Linked DNA regions of Xenopus tropicalis. The protein of the gene in region 1 interacts with the protein of each later gene in a pairwise test. Links are inferred from orthologs where the notes say so. Each region holds a gene or a part of one and is shown on either strand. Other genes may lie near its edges. The genes, in order: bcl2l2, bmf and ccdc155l.

Region 1 (4,287 bases):
CTGACAGGAAGTCTATATAAACCTTTAACTTTGATGATTTCAGAAACATGCACAGTGATCTAACCTACATATATAAAATAAGAGAGAACACTGCGTGCACTTGCCATTATTACCCACCATGCTGGGTACATATATACAGAAAGTACATAAAATTAGGTATATGGCAAAAAGTTACAGATAGATTCTACATAGTTAAATGCCAGGCTACAATTGGATGCTACTCCACCAGCATTTTCTGCTGGCGGAGTAGCACCCAATTGTAGCCTGGCATTTAACTATGTAGAATCTACCTGTCACTAGAGGTAAAAGGTCTATTTTATTCAGAAACAGAATATTCGAGCAGGTTCTGGACAGAAACCATTCCATTATTACAGAACGAATACCTAAATTACAGAATTAACACCCATGATAAGGTGATTTTCTATTGGCTGAAACCACCAACAGAAAATATGCCCTATGTGCCCTGAAACCTATGTTTCAGCATTGAATAAGATCTCTTGAAGTCAAAGAGTCAAACACAAAGGTGTATTGGAAGAAGCAGCTCACGGGGAGGTGCCATAAAAATCTTAAATAATTCAATAATCAAGTAAACTTGAAGCAACAAAAAAACTTAAGAAACCTCCTGTTTGCCATCACATATTTAAAACATGTACTGCAAGGTTCGTTTTTATCTGGAACTTCACTGTTTCTTCAAAGATTGCAACTGAGAAGCCTCATATCATTTGTGTTAGTATGTTAGTATATTAAGCACAGCATTTTTCCTCTTCAGCTTTTCCAGTGTGGCTCCTGACATAGAGGTGATTCAATAGAAGATACTGCACACAGCACCAGGCCTGTAATAGCAATTAGTGGATTCTGGCAAATACCAGAGGGGTTGCTGTGAGATGCTATAGACAGTAACTATTTAGTGGGCTGGTGGGAGGCCAGCAACCCTTGAAAATGCCAGGGTCTATTCTGAATCCCAATCCAGGCCTGCACAGTACTCTCAGGTGGCCATACACGTAGCAGTAATGATCTTTCATGCAACCACTGGTCAGGTGGAAACAATAGAAAGGTGGAGGTGGGAATAATAGAAATTCTACCTGCACCTGCTGATTCAGCTCTAAATGTAGATTTTGCTTGGGTGCCTTCTACGGCGCCCGATCAAAATCTTTTAACCTGCCCAATCAGCGTGACGATCAATATCCGCAGCCTTTGTGATACTGTTTGTTTCGGCGAGCCGCCATTCACAAGGTTTCATATGGTAATATTGGTGCGTGTATGGCCGGCTTACATCTCATTTAAAAAAAAAAAAAAAAAGAGGGAAAAAAAAAAATCAGCCTTCACTTTAATGTGACACTATCAGTGAAATGTCTAAGGGCTCTGGCACACGGGGAGATTAGTCGCCCACGACAAACCTCCCCGAAATGCCATCCCACCGGCGAAAATGTAAATCGCCGGTGGGATGGCATACGCGGCGGCGCGACTTCAGTGAGATTGCGGAACTTTCCTCTCATTTCACTGAAATCGCGCCGCCGCGTATGCCACCCCACCGGCGATTTACATTTTCGTCGGTGGGATGGCATTTCGGGGAGATTAGTCGCGGGTGACTAATCTCCCCGTGTGCCAGAGCCCTAAAGCCAATATTGCTAGTTATCTGTTTATATCTTGCCCATTTGTTTTCTCTATGACAACAGTACAAAAGAAATTGGCTTTCCTTAGTAACTGGCAGATGGAGATTTTTCATGGAAACCACCCTCTATGAAACCCACAATCACCACAGGGCCAGCTCACAATCATGCATCCAGCATTTTACCAGTGACAATTCTTTCTAACATAAGTAGCTGGCACTGCATACTTTAAACACATAATCACCAGCCCTACCCTGCAAGGAGTGGCAACCAGTGTCACCAGGAGACTGAAAGGAAAAGTATGGTGATTAAAACAAGTCTCTGTTCAAGGAAAGCACCAGCCAGTAAATACAATAGCTTTTTACCCCAGGACAGTTCCATGTTTAGTCATTTCCCAGGGTTCCACTACAGCTGTCTCTGGGATTGTTGGAATGTGAAATACAGTAAAAGTCACCTTTACCAATGTTTCTCTACTGCACATGGGAAAGGTTCCTGGCAGCCCTACAAATTAATAAAGATTAAGGGACAGTGCTGAAAAGAAAAATACCCCAAGCTGGTGCTTTTTTTTTTTTTTTTTTTTAACATGAGCTGCGTACTGAGCAGTGTACACATTTTATTTACTGGGGGGAGTACATAACATATGGGCGTGCAATCCAGGGTTGTATCAAATGAAATAAACACATACAAGGAATTAGTGTACAATATCAGAGCCACACATTTAGGATAATGATACACATACAGACAGAAATGGAGCAGAAGCATGAAGGTCAATTGCCTGGCCCCTTTTAAGCAAACAGCATGTATTCAAGTGTAGAAGCTGTAGAATAACCAGCCCCACAGTCTGCATTAGGTGGGCGTGGCATCAACATAATGTCTATATGAAAGGTGGTACTGCAGGGATCCTAAATACCCACAGGCAGTCTGGGGATGCTGCTAAGAGTTATGGTTTAGAAACAACTGGAGATCAGAACACTGAAGACACCTTGGTTAACCCTTTCTTTACCTGGGCAATGGTTTGTAGGTTATAGGCGTGCCCATGTCCAATCAAATTCCTCATGTCCCAACACCAATTATTTATTGCAAAAGGCTACACCACATATATTTTACAGCCATGACTGCAAATAGAGACAAGCTGGATAAGTGGTCTTTTCTTCCCTGTCAAAAGCAGGGCAAGCAAGCTGCGACTAATTACTACCAAAGCGGCTCTCACCCGTCAGGTACTTATCGGGGCTCCCCCGGAAGATGATATTTCCCGTCGCATGCTGTTCTTCCCAATCTCGGTCCTTTACGCCGTTATTCCCCTTTTTTCGGATTTAATTCGCAACCACTTCCGGTTGTGTCATGGCGACGCCCGATGACGTCAAAGACGCACGCCTTCCTGTTTGCCCATTGACTGAACTGTCTGGGTTCTGCCGTACTGTGCAGAGTAGATGCGTAAAAGGGGTGTGGCTAAGGACGCTTGTTCTGGCGACCACCAAAACGGTGCTCTAATCTTGACCTCCAGACTCTAAAATTAAGAAATTGGTTATAAAGGTCGTTGGTTTGGGGAAAGTGCTATTTTACTTACAGGCGATAGTGCGGGTATTAAATCTTTCCTCAGGTGTGTTACTTAACTGGGCATTCTCATTCTACTCACTGTATCAGTGAAGTTGCAACCAAGACCTATTAGTGGGAATTGTTTCTGAGAATTTGCTGAGCATAACATGCAGACCCTTAGATTATGATATGATTGATAGCAGTATTAAATAACAGACTGCAGTCATTTTAAAAATTGCAGTTTTTCTCTTTTTTTTAATTTTTATCTGCAGAGAAGATTAATAGGACAGGGACTTAAAAAGATTGGGGATTAAAAACAATAAAATGAAATCCGCACCTTTGATCTTTTATATGGTTGTCGGAATCAGATACCCTGACAACCAGATAGGATTTTGGGTTGCAGGGTTTAAAAGGCACAATATGAAAACTATTAATTGAGAAAAAAAATACATAACTTGAAATATTAGAAAAATGTAAAGGGACAAAATGAACTGCTGCATGAAATGCATTGGCGTACATTAGGTGCACCTGTATTTTATGACACACTCTGGCCTTTACACTATCATGATATGTTGTGGCACGTAGCATTTCAGGACAGCCACAGTGTTGCACAACACCCACCCCAAAAAGCCCTGTGCAGACTGGAAGAATATTCCTCATTTCCAGGCCATTCCTTTATGTTAAGCACTTCATATATTGTGAGGAGTGACATTGCAATTTCATCTTGCAAGACTGATGAGACCCTGAGAGGGCGGCTGGCAGCACCGAGACTACTGACAGTAAAGCACAGACTGCAGAATGGGGGTTTTCCCATGAAAAGCAGGGCAGTTGGGGGATATAAAAACATACAAATTAAACTTTAAAGACCAATTGAAAAGCTGCTTCTAATAGGTAAATATATAATATAAACATATATATATATAAATGTTAACATCCTTTTTATTATGTTGAATCATCATTCATGTGAACTTGTGCCCTTTATAATTCACCTAATCTATTCTCCACAAACCTTTAGGGACATTATCAGTTTTATACAGTGGTGTGAAAAACTATTTGCCCCCTTCCTGATTTCTTATTCTTTTGCATGTTTGTCACACTTAAATGTTTCTCCTCATCAAACACATTTAACTATTAGTCAAAG
Region 2 (4,278 bases), on another chromosome or scaffold:
GTGGTAATACTGGCCCCAGCTGTGATAGGGTGTTTGCTGGCTCGCCCAATAAAATTCTGTCCGGGTGGCAAACCTACATCACCCATGTGAAAAAGTAATTACCCCCTTATACATAATAACTGGCCGCTCCACCGTAAGCTGCAATAATTGCAAAATGATTCATTTGATGTCAGTCTGTCACATTGTTGCTGAGTCATTTAGCCCACTCTTCTTTGTAGAACTGCTTTAATTCACACATTGGAGGCCATTTATAATGTTTGTAATTTTTTTCTACAATTCATTTTTTGGAACTAAAATTAAACAAAAGTGATTTTTCACCATGTATTATGCATCAAAACCATGAAAAGCGTGAATGCAAAAATACTCCATCTAAAGGCTGTCGCAGTCATGTAGAAGTCAGTTTGGTGCTGTCCAAGGCAATATTTATGCGGCCCTTTTACTTCGAGGTATTTGAGTTTTACATATTTTTTGGGGGGAGCTACTTGTGCTATTTAAGTTATGTAAAATTCACAATTAGGGGTTTTTGCTTTTATTTTTAAATTCATTTATGCTTTTCTCATTTATGAGTTTAGTGGTGGTAGAAAAAATCTCTAAGGGAGAGGTGTATGAGATATGTGCTTTTCTCAGCCCTGCGGATCCGCTTCATTAAAGACTTCAGTCTTAAAAACTATGGCAACTGCCCAAGTGTGGGCACACAGAGCGGAGTAGATCGAAGGTTGGCCTAAAAAATGCGAAATCGGGCATTTTCCAGGCCAACCTCCACTCCGCTGAGGTCCACAGGGGAGTGTACGGAAGAGGATCCACTTCTCTCAGCCTGGCTGAAAAACATAGGGCTAAAGGTCCCCGATACACAGGCCGATTAGCTGCCGAATCGTTCTAAAGGACATCTGTATGGTGTATTGGGGACCTTAAGAAAAGCGTATATGTTTTATGTGACCTCGCCCTTAAACTACACAAACTCTGATTTTGATAAATCTGCCTCATTAAGTCCATAAAGATGGACTTTTTCTAATAGGTTGGGAATTTTGTCATGGAAAAGGGAGGCCGCTATCAGTGAGAACTGACTAATACAACATACCTAGCCAGGCCAGGAATAGGATCCAAAATAGGTCCTGGCATTTCAAGTACACAGAGGCCCAACATCTCCCCACCAGGCCAATAACTAGTGACTGACTGTGGCATCTTACAGCAGCCCCTCTGGCATTTGCCGCCCAAAACCCACAGAGTGACGGGGGGGGGGCATCACTGGCATGCATAGTACAAATACCCAAATGCTACACAGCTACAAAGGGACTGATAAAGAGCTGAGGGGCCCCCACAAAGCTCCTATGGTGAGTAGATTATAGGCAAGCTGGAATCAGTCAGAGCTCACAGTGTTTATATTAGGAAGGGCGTGTGTACATTACAGCACATCCCCGGGCTCAGTATGGGGATACATGGTTATGGTGCAGGTAATACTGTTTGGCTTATGGCAAGTAGTTGGTAGTGAGTACAGTAAAACAAAGTTGGTAACAGAAGCCATATCACGGCCCAAAGAATGGACGCCAGGTTAACTCTTCCTGGCTTAGTGTGTTGAAGTGATTGTATTCCGAGCAGTGAATTGTATTCCGAGTGTGAATCGACCGAGAAAAGGGCAGCGGGGATACGGGACACAGGGGATGTGAAGCAATCATTGCTCCGCCTGCCAATCACAGCCGGTCCCTCCCCAGCCGCTCTCAAACACACTCACAGAGAGACTTCACGCAATGAGCTTGCCGCTACCCTGCAGGTGAGAGGACACACGGCACCCTGCCTGCCTGCCCGGATCCCCCGCCAAAAGTAAGTGATCAGCGGGGCTGTACACCTGTCTGGGGACTGCAGTGGTCTCTTCCACTGAGGCGTGCAGATGTTATGTATGGGTCTGTAGGAACGCAGCCGGGTCAAACCATTCTGCCAGCCGGGGTGCCCTGTGTGAGCGCTGGGTGCAGTGATGCAGTAAGGGGATGATGCGCTGCTGCTTATAGAGCACTTGGGTGACATTACTTTCCTGCTTACATTTTGGTTTGATTGTTATCTGTAAGGGCAGAAACTTTAGTGTAAAAAAGAATTTGCACTAGTGCTATTGAACAAGTTCATTGCTACGAACGGGCGATATCAGATTGTAGCTTAGTATTTATAGAGTTAAACCCGCCCGTGTTCCTGATGAGCTCAGCTTCCTGGCGTGTGTGAGTTGCAGTTTAACAACTGCAGAAATGGACTTACTATGCAGTTTAAAACTTATCCTAAAGTCACAAGTGACTTTTGATGGTATTTTATGGCTCATAAAGGGAGAGTAGGTACTAGCAGATTGGTGAGCTATCAGTCCTGTGGATGTTGCTGAACTACATCTTACACTTTTTTACCAGCTGGCAAAGGCTACTGCTGGATGCTAAGAGCTGTATCTCAATTAAACATCTGTAGGAGCTTTTCCTGCCTGTTGGAGAGAATACTGTGCAGGGTGTTTAGTATTTATCCTGCTGCCCAGGTTATGACTGCCCCCTGCTTTATAGAGGGGTTCACTTCAGTCCTCAGTCCTCTTCCATACTTGTCTGTTAGAGTGGGAACAAAACATATGAGTAATAAGACAACTGCCTGGAGATCTGAGAGGCTGCTGTTATGTTTGGTGCCAGGAGAGAATGACCCTGTTCCAGAAGGTTGAGTCAGGATAAGCTGGCAGCGGAGGTCAGGCGTTGGGTAGCTGCTGCCAGATGTACACGGCACATCTGTTTTTGTGTGGCGCTGATGGACACTTGAGCTCAGCAGGATCCAGCTGGGATTAAATGACTTGGAGTTTGCAGAGAGAATCCAGAGTGACAATGAAAGGAAAAGCCTTGAGGCTCTTTAGCCATTTTATAGCAGCACCTCTGCAATTAGAGACAACTGCAAGAGCCAAGCAGAGAGAAACAGTCGCACTCATCACTTTGTTTTATATCAGATATGAAAATGCTAAGATCCAGCTGAAAGCCTAGCGGTGTGTTACTTTAATTCCTCTTCCTCCACTTTCACTCCATTTGTTTGCATCCCTGCTTGTGTGCACGTGCTTGTGTATGAGTGTGTGTCGCCATCGGTTCCTTATCTGTTTATTGCAGTGATCCCCAACCAGTGGCTCATGAACAACATGTTGCTCCCCAACCCCTCGGATGTTGCTCTCAGTGCCCCCAAACCAGGTAGTTATTTTTGAATTCCTGACTTGGGGGCAAGTTTTGGTTGAATAAAAACAAGATTTCCTACCAAATAAAGCCCCTGTAAGCTGATAAGGGTGCATAGAGGCTCCCTAATAGCCAATCTTAGCCCTTATTTGGCACCTCCATGAACTTTTATGGTGCTTTTGTTGCTCTCCAAGTCTTTTTACATTTGTCTGTGGCTCACAAGTAAAAAAGGCTGGGGACCCCTGGTTTATAGCATATGAAAAGGCAACCACAATAACCCATTTCTCCTCTACAGCTGATGAAAATTCCCCCCTTTTCCTACTGGGAAGAAAGAGCCTCTTGTATTTATACAGAAACCTATACTTCTAATATCTTTCTTTTTTACCCAAGTCCAATATGTCAAAAATATAGTTATAGTAGATGATAAAAAAAAATCTCAAAAGTACTGGACCTTAATACAAGGTTGAATTTGATTTGTCTTTATTTTAACCTCAGCTACTATGTACTTAAGAACAAGAGGCCCACTAGGTAGAAACTGAATTGCGGGCACGGCCTATAAATCCTATTATCCTAAGTCTGAAACTTTTTATTGCAATAGGAAACAGTAGGCATCATGGAGCCATTCAGCTTCTGTTGCACTACAATTCCCAGAACCTTCCAATCGCCACCCCTAGGGCCACTGCTTGGCCATTGTTTCTTGTAATTGTAGTTCAGCGAAAGTACATGGCTCCTCTTGGCTGAGTGGTGCCCTTTCCGGTTACGCAATCCATTGTGTCTGGGGCTTTCTCGCGTGTGTGCCACAGTGGGATACCTCTGCTGAGACCAATTTGCACTAATGGCGGTGGCACACACATGAACTGCAGGGCTTCTTAGGTCAGATGTGGTGGAAAATATCCAGACGTGCCCAATTGTTTTTTTATTGTGTGCTTGTTCCTGCTTCACTAGGAGCCGCTGTCAGCTGCTTGTAATACCGTCAGCTTCATCGCCTGCACTGCTCTCTTTCCAAACATGACTCAGCGCTCGCACACACTTGGCCTTTGGCAGCCACTGCCTCACGTGTTGCTGTCAGGAACCTTCCCCTCTGATAAACAAACTACCTCTTTTGTGATGT
Region 3 (3,650 bases), on another chromosome or scaffold:
ATATTGATAGGGGACGTTTGGAAATCCCCTAGGGCTTTATCTGTGCATTGATCCAACAATGTGTGATAAACGATTAAGGTAAGTTTTTTTATTTTTCAATGTAGTTTTGTTCTCTTGTGTAGATGTGCATTTTATTATACTTCCACCAGATGTCACCAAATCTTCAGAAAAAATATACTGGCGCAGGGCTTGGATTGCTTCTATTACCCTGAAATCTGCTATTTCAGAAGTTTGTCCCTAAATGACTGAGTGGTAAATACACCTTAGGGGCTGATATGGGCTGGAACATGGGTTTTTTTTCATCCTGAGTAATCGGATCATGTCTTGCTGAATCATCCATCCATGCAGTGATATGGTATATGATATGGAATTTAGGATTTAGAGATGATGGGTATAAATGATATTGATGCAGTCAATACTAATTTGGGTGGAGTAGATCTTCAATGCTGTCTTAGGCTAGGAGAGATCATAGAAATAACTGCAGAGGTCCCCTAGGGATTGCTTGGATCACTGTGCATGCTAATTGTAATTAGCATGCACAGTTACCATATACCTGTTTGCTTTGTAAGCTATAATATCATGTCTGTATTACTAGTACAAAGTCAAAACCCTGGCTATTGGCTGTGCCCATGCTTTGTCCAGCAACAATCGACTTTGTCAGATGAAGAAAAGAAGAGAAAATGTGGGTGTGGGGGGTATCTAAAGAACAACCATAATCATTCTACTGAATTACAAGTACTTCAATTATAAAAGGACATTACACTGTTACTTTCAATTCAGTATGACAGGTGTTCATTCAAGGACTAGAAAAATACAATTGTGAATAATGCCAAGTAGATCTTCAGATAAAAGTAATGTATATAACCCTTGCCACAGTTATTGCTATAGTATCACTTTTATCTGAATCACTTATCTAATATTTTGTTTTATAAGCTCCTTCAGAGCCACGGTAACCTAAGTTTCCAACCTATATTTAGTTTAATGTATTTTATGGAGGTCAGTCCCTCCATTTTCCTTATTTCCTCAGGTGAGTTTATCCATTTCATTGGTAGTGTCAGTATCAGGTCCTATTCCCATGTCTTTGGTGGTACTGGGTCTTTTCTTCCATTCCAAAGTTGATGGTGGTGTTGGATCTTGCTGCCCGACCCTATTTCATTGGGGGTATTGGGACTTTTCATTCTTTCCTATTTTGTTGGTGCTATTGGCTATTTCCATCCATTCCCATTTTGTTGGTGGCATTGGGTCTTTCCATTCTCTCACATTTTGCTTTCAGTCCATTTTGTTAATAGTATTGACTCTTTGCGCCCATTCTCATTTCATTGGCGTATTGGGTCTCTCCACCCATTCCTATTTCATAGGTGTATTGGGTCTTTTCATCCATTCCCATTTCATTGGTGTATTGGGTCTTTTCATCCATTCCTATTTCATAGGTGTATTGGGTCTTTTCATCCATTCCCATTTCATTGGTGGTTTTGGGTCTTTTCATCCATTCCCATTTCATTGGTGGTTTTGGGTCTTTGCATCCATTTGATTAATGATATTGACTCTTTGCATCCCTAAACAATATATAGAATACAATGTTTAGATAAGGAGAGTCAAGAGAAATCCTTTCCCTATGGGTATATGCATTGTTTAGTACAATAGTATTTAGTATAATAGTATTTAGTTGGTAAAACTGGGAGAAATCAGGCACAATATAGATATAGAGGATAGGGTTCAAAATAGTTAATTTGATACTGGATAAGACAATAAAAAATTACTGACTGCTTTATGTTTAATTAAAGGAAAAGGTTAAGTCACAGCAACTTCGCAGCATTGTAGATGAACATAGACTTCAGGTTCAGGTAGGTGAATATTAGAGAGGTAACAAAGTAGCAGGCTAGCAATGCTACACATTATGTTTTGGCTTCTTTACAAGCCCAAGGAAACCAAAGGCTTTACCAGTAAATGTATCTGCCCCCAGTAGCTCCCCATCTTCATTCCCCTGATTCACAGCACATGCTCAGGGCTGCCATTATTTACATGAGATTAGGGACTGACTGACAATATACTGCATATATACAATATAAAAGTAAAAGTACAAGGCTAATTAGTAATTAATTCAGATTTGTATTACATGGCAACTCAGAAACCACTCTGCACCAGGAATAATCAGCTCTGTAGCATCAGCTTTTATAACAGATGAACCTCATTTTCTTTTTAATGGTTTTTGACAACTCCAATGTTTAGCTTCTTCATAGCAGCCCAGGGCACACTGAGCATGGGCAGTGCCACTGACACATAAAAGATGGCCTAACTTGACCCAAGATGGGGAGCTGCTGTGGGCAAATTTAAAAAGTCTGCATCATTACTGTTATAGGCTTGCTGAATCTCTCTGCTGCTTAGTATAGAAAATTCATTGTGTCTAGCCACATATTAATTTTTAGCCTATAGTTCTCCTTTAAACAATACACAGTTGAGTCTACTGACCTATGAGACAAGGGTAAACTATTGCGTCTATAATCAGAGAAGGCAGCTAACTGAATGGAGATGCTCTCAGTACTAAGCAGCTGTGACCACTGCCCCATTGCAAAGACATGTTCTTCAATTAAACCGATGAGGCACAAGTGTGATGGAGAATAAAAACTTTAATTAGCACTTAATTAGGTAAAAAAATAGAACCGGTCTGGAAATAGTTGTTTATAACAAATATATAGCAGTAATAATGGAAATGATGATGCACCAGGCCTCTGTACGATCCTAAAAGAGCACAGTCCTACAGAGGTGCCCTATCTTCCTTATCTCAGGTTGGGCCACTTTCTGGTGCTTGTGGGTACTCACTGCCTTTAGATAATAGCTTTTTAACCAGAAACGGAGGTTACTTTTACCTTTATTTTCAGTGTGTGCAGGATTATATAATCCAGGTCTCAGAATATTAATGCACAGGCAAAATAAATGAATAAAGGTGCAACAGGCACAAGGTGCATAACATGCCTTGCCTATGGATGAGTTGGAAGTATTGCCTGCTTCATGATTCATATGCGTGCAAGGCTAATTTGCTAAATTCAGTGTCGTTCTATGCTGTGTTTGTAATGTTTATTCTTCTGTGTGTGATCCAATACAATGTTATTTGTGTATTCTGAAATATTTAGATGTAAGAACTCTTTTCCTATATCCTGCTGACTTACCTTTTGTGCATAGCTTTGTACGTGTGGGGGGTGATTACATTCAAGGGATGTTATTAATGGTTTTTGCTGTATATCTTATGCTGTCTAGGTGCTTCAAAGAGAAAAGAGACTATTACATGAACAGCTGTTACAGCCAAACAAAGAAAACATGCCCTTGTAAGTAGCCCCCACACATATCCAGTAGCCAATTAATATCAATTATATTAGAAATGTCTATTTTGTATACATTCAGTGTATTATTGCTGGTCCATTAAAGCAGGATCTGTTACAGGTTTGTTTTAATTATAGCATTAGGCTGAACACATTGTTAACACAACCCGTATTTACTGGACTATTTTTAACATTGTTATATAATGCCCATGTAATCTTCTGTGCTTTAATATGAATTTAAATGTACTGATAGGCACTTTATAGCTCTGGTAAGGAGTAATGTCGTTTTGGGCTTTAGTAGAAATACACACACACACACACACTATATATACA

What was found.
Region 2: the proteins of bcl2l2 (region 1) and bmf interact in binary tests that used the Homo sapiens proteins (3 or more experiments, as listed by UniProt). The two-hybrid records come from large-scale screens. The link is inferred for Xenopus tropicalis from reciprocal best matches to the Homo sapiens genes BCL2L2 and BMF.
Region 3: the proteins of bcl2l2 (region 1) and ccdc155l interact in binary tests that used the Homo sapiens proteins (3 or more experiments, as listed by UniProt). The two-hybrid records come from large-scale screens. The link is inferred for Xenopus tropicalis from reciprocal best matches to the Homo sapiens genes BCL2L2 and KASH5.

Annotation. Positions count from the first base shown.
Region 1 is NC_030677.2:139,688,296-139,692,582, reverse strand, and holds the start of bcl2l2 (bcl-2-like protein 2), read right to left. Parts: upstream 2,929-4,287; 5' UTR 2,821-2,928; intron 1-2,820. UniProt on the Homo sapiens protein: Promotes cell survival. Blocks dexamethasone-induced apoptosis. Mediates survival of postmitotic Sertoli cells by suppressing death-promoting activity of BAX.
Region 2 is NC_030684.2:114,269,166-114,273,443, reverse strand, and holds the start of bmf (bcl-2-modifying factor), read left to right. Parts: upstream 1-1,465; 5' UTR 1,466-1,818; intron 1,819-1,912; exon of another isoform or gene 1,913-2,012; intron 2,013-4,278. UniProt on the Homo sapiens protein: May play a role in apoptosis. Isoform 1 seems to be the main initiator.
Region 3 is NC_030683.2:112,414,428-112,418,077, forward strand, and holds part of ccdc155l (lymphoid-restricted membrane protein), read left to right. Parts: intron 1-1,784; coding exon 1,785-1,844; intron 1,845-3,255; coding exon 3,256-3,323; intron 3,324-3,650. UniProt on the Homo sapiens protein: As a component of the LINC (LInker of Nucleoskeleton and Cytoskeleton) complex, involved in the connection between the nuclear lamina and the cytoskeleton.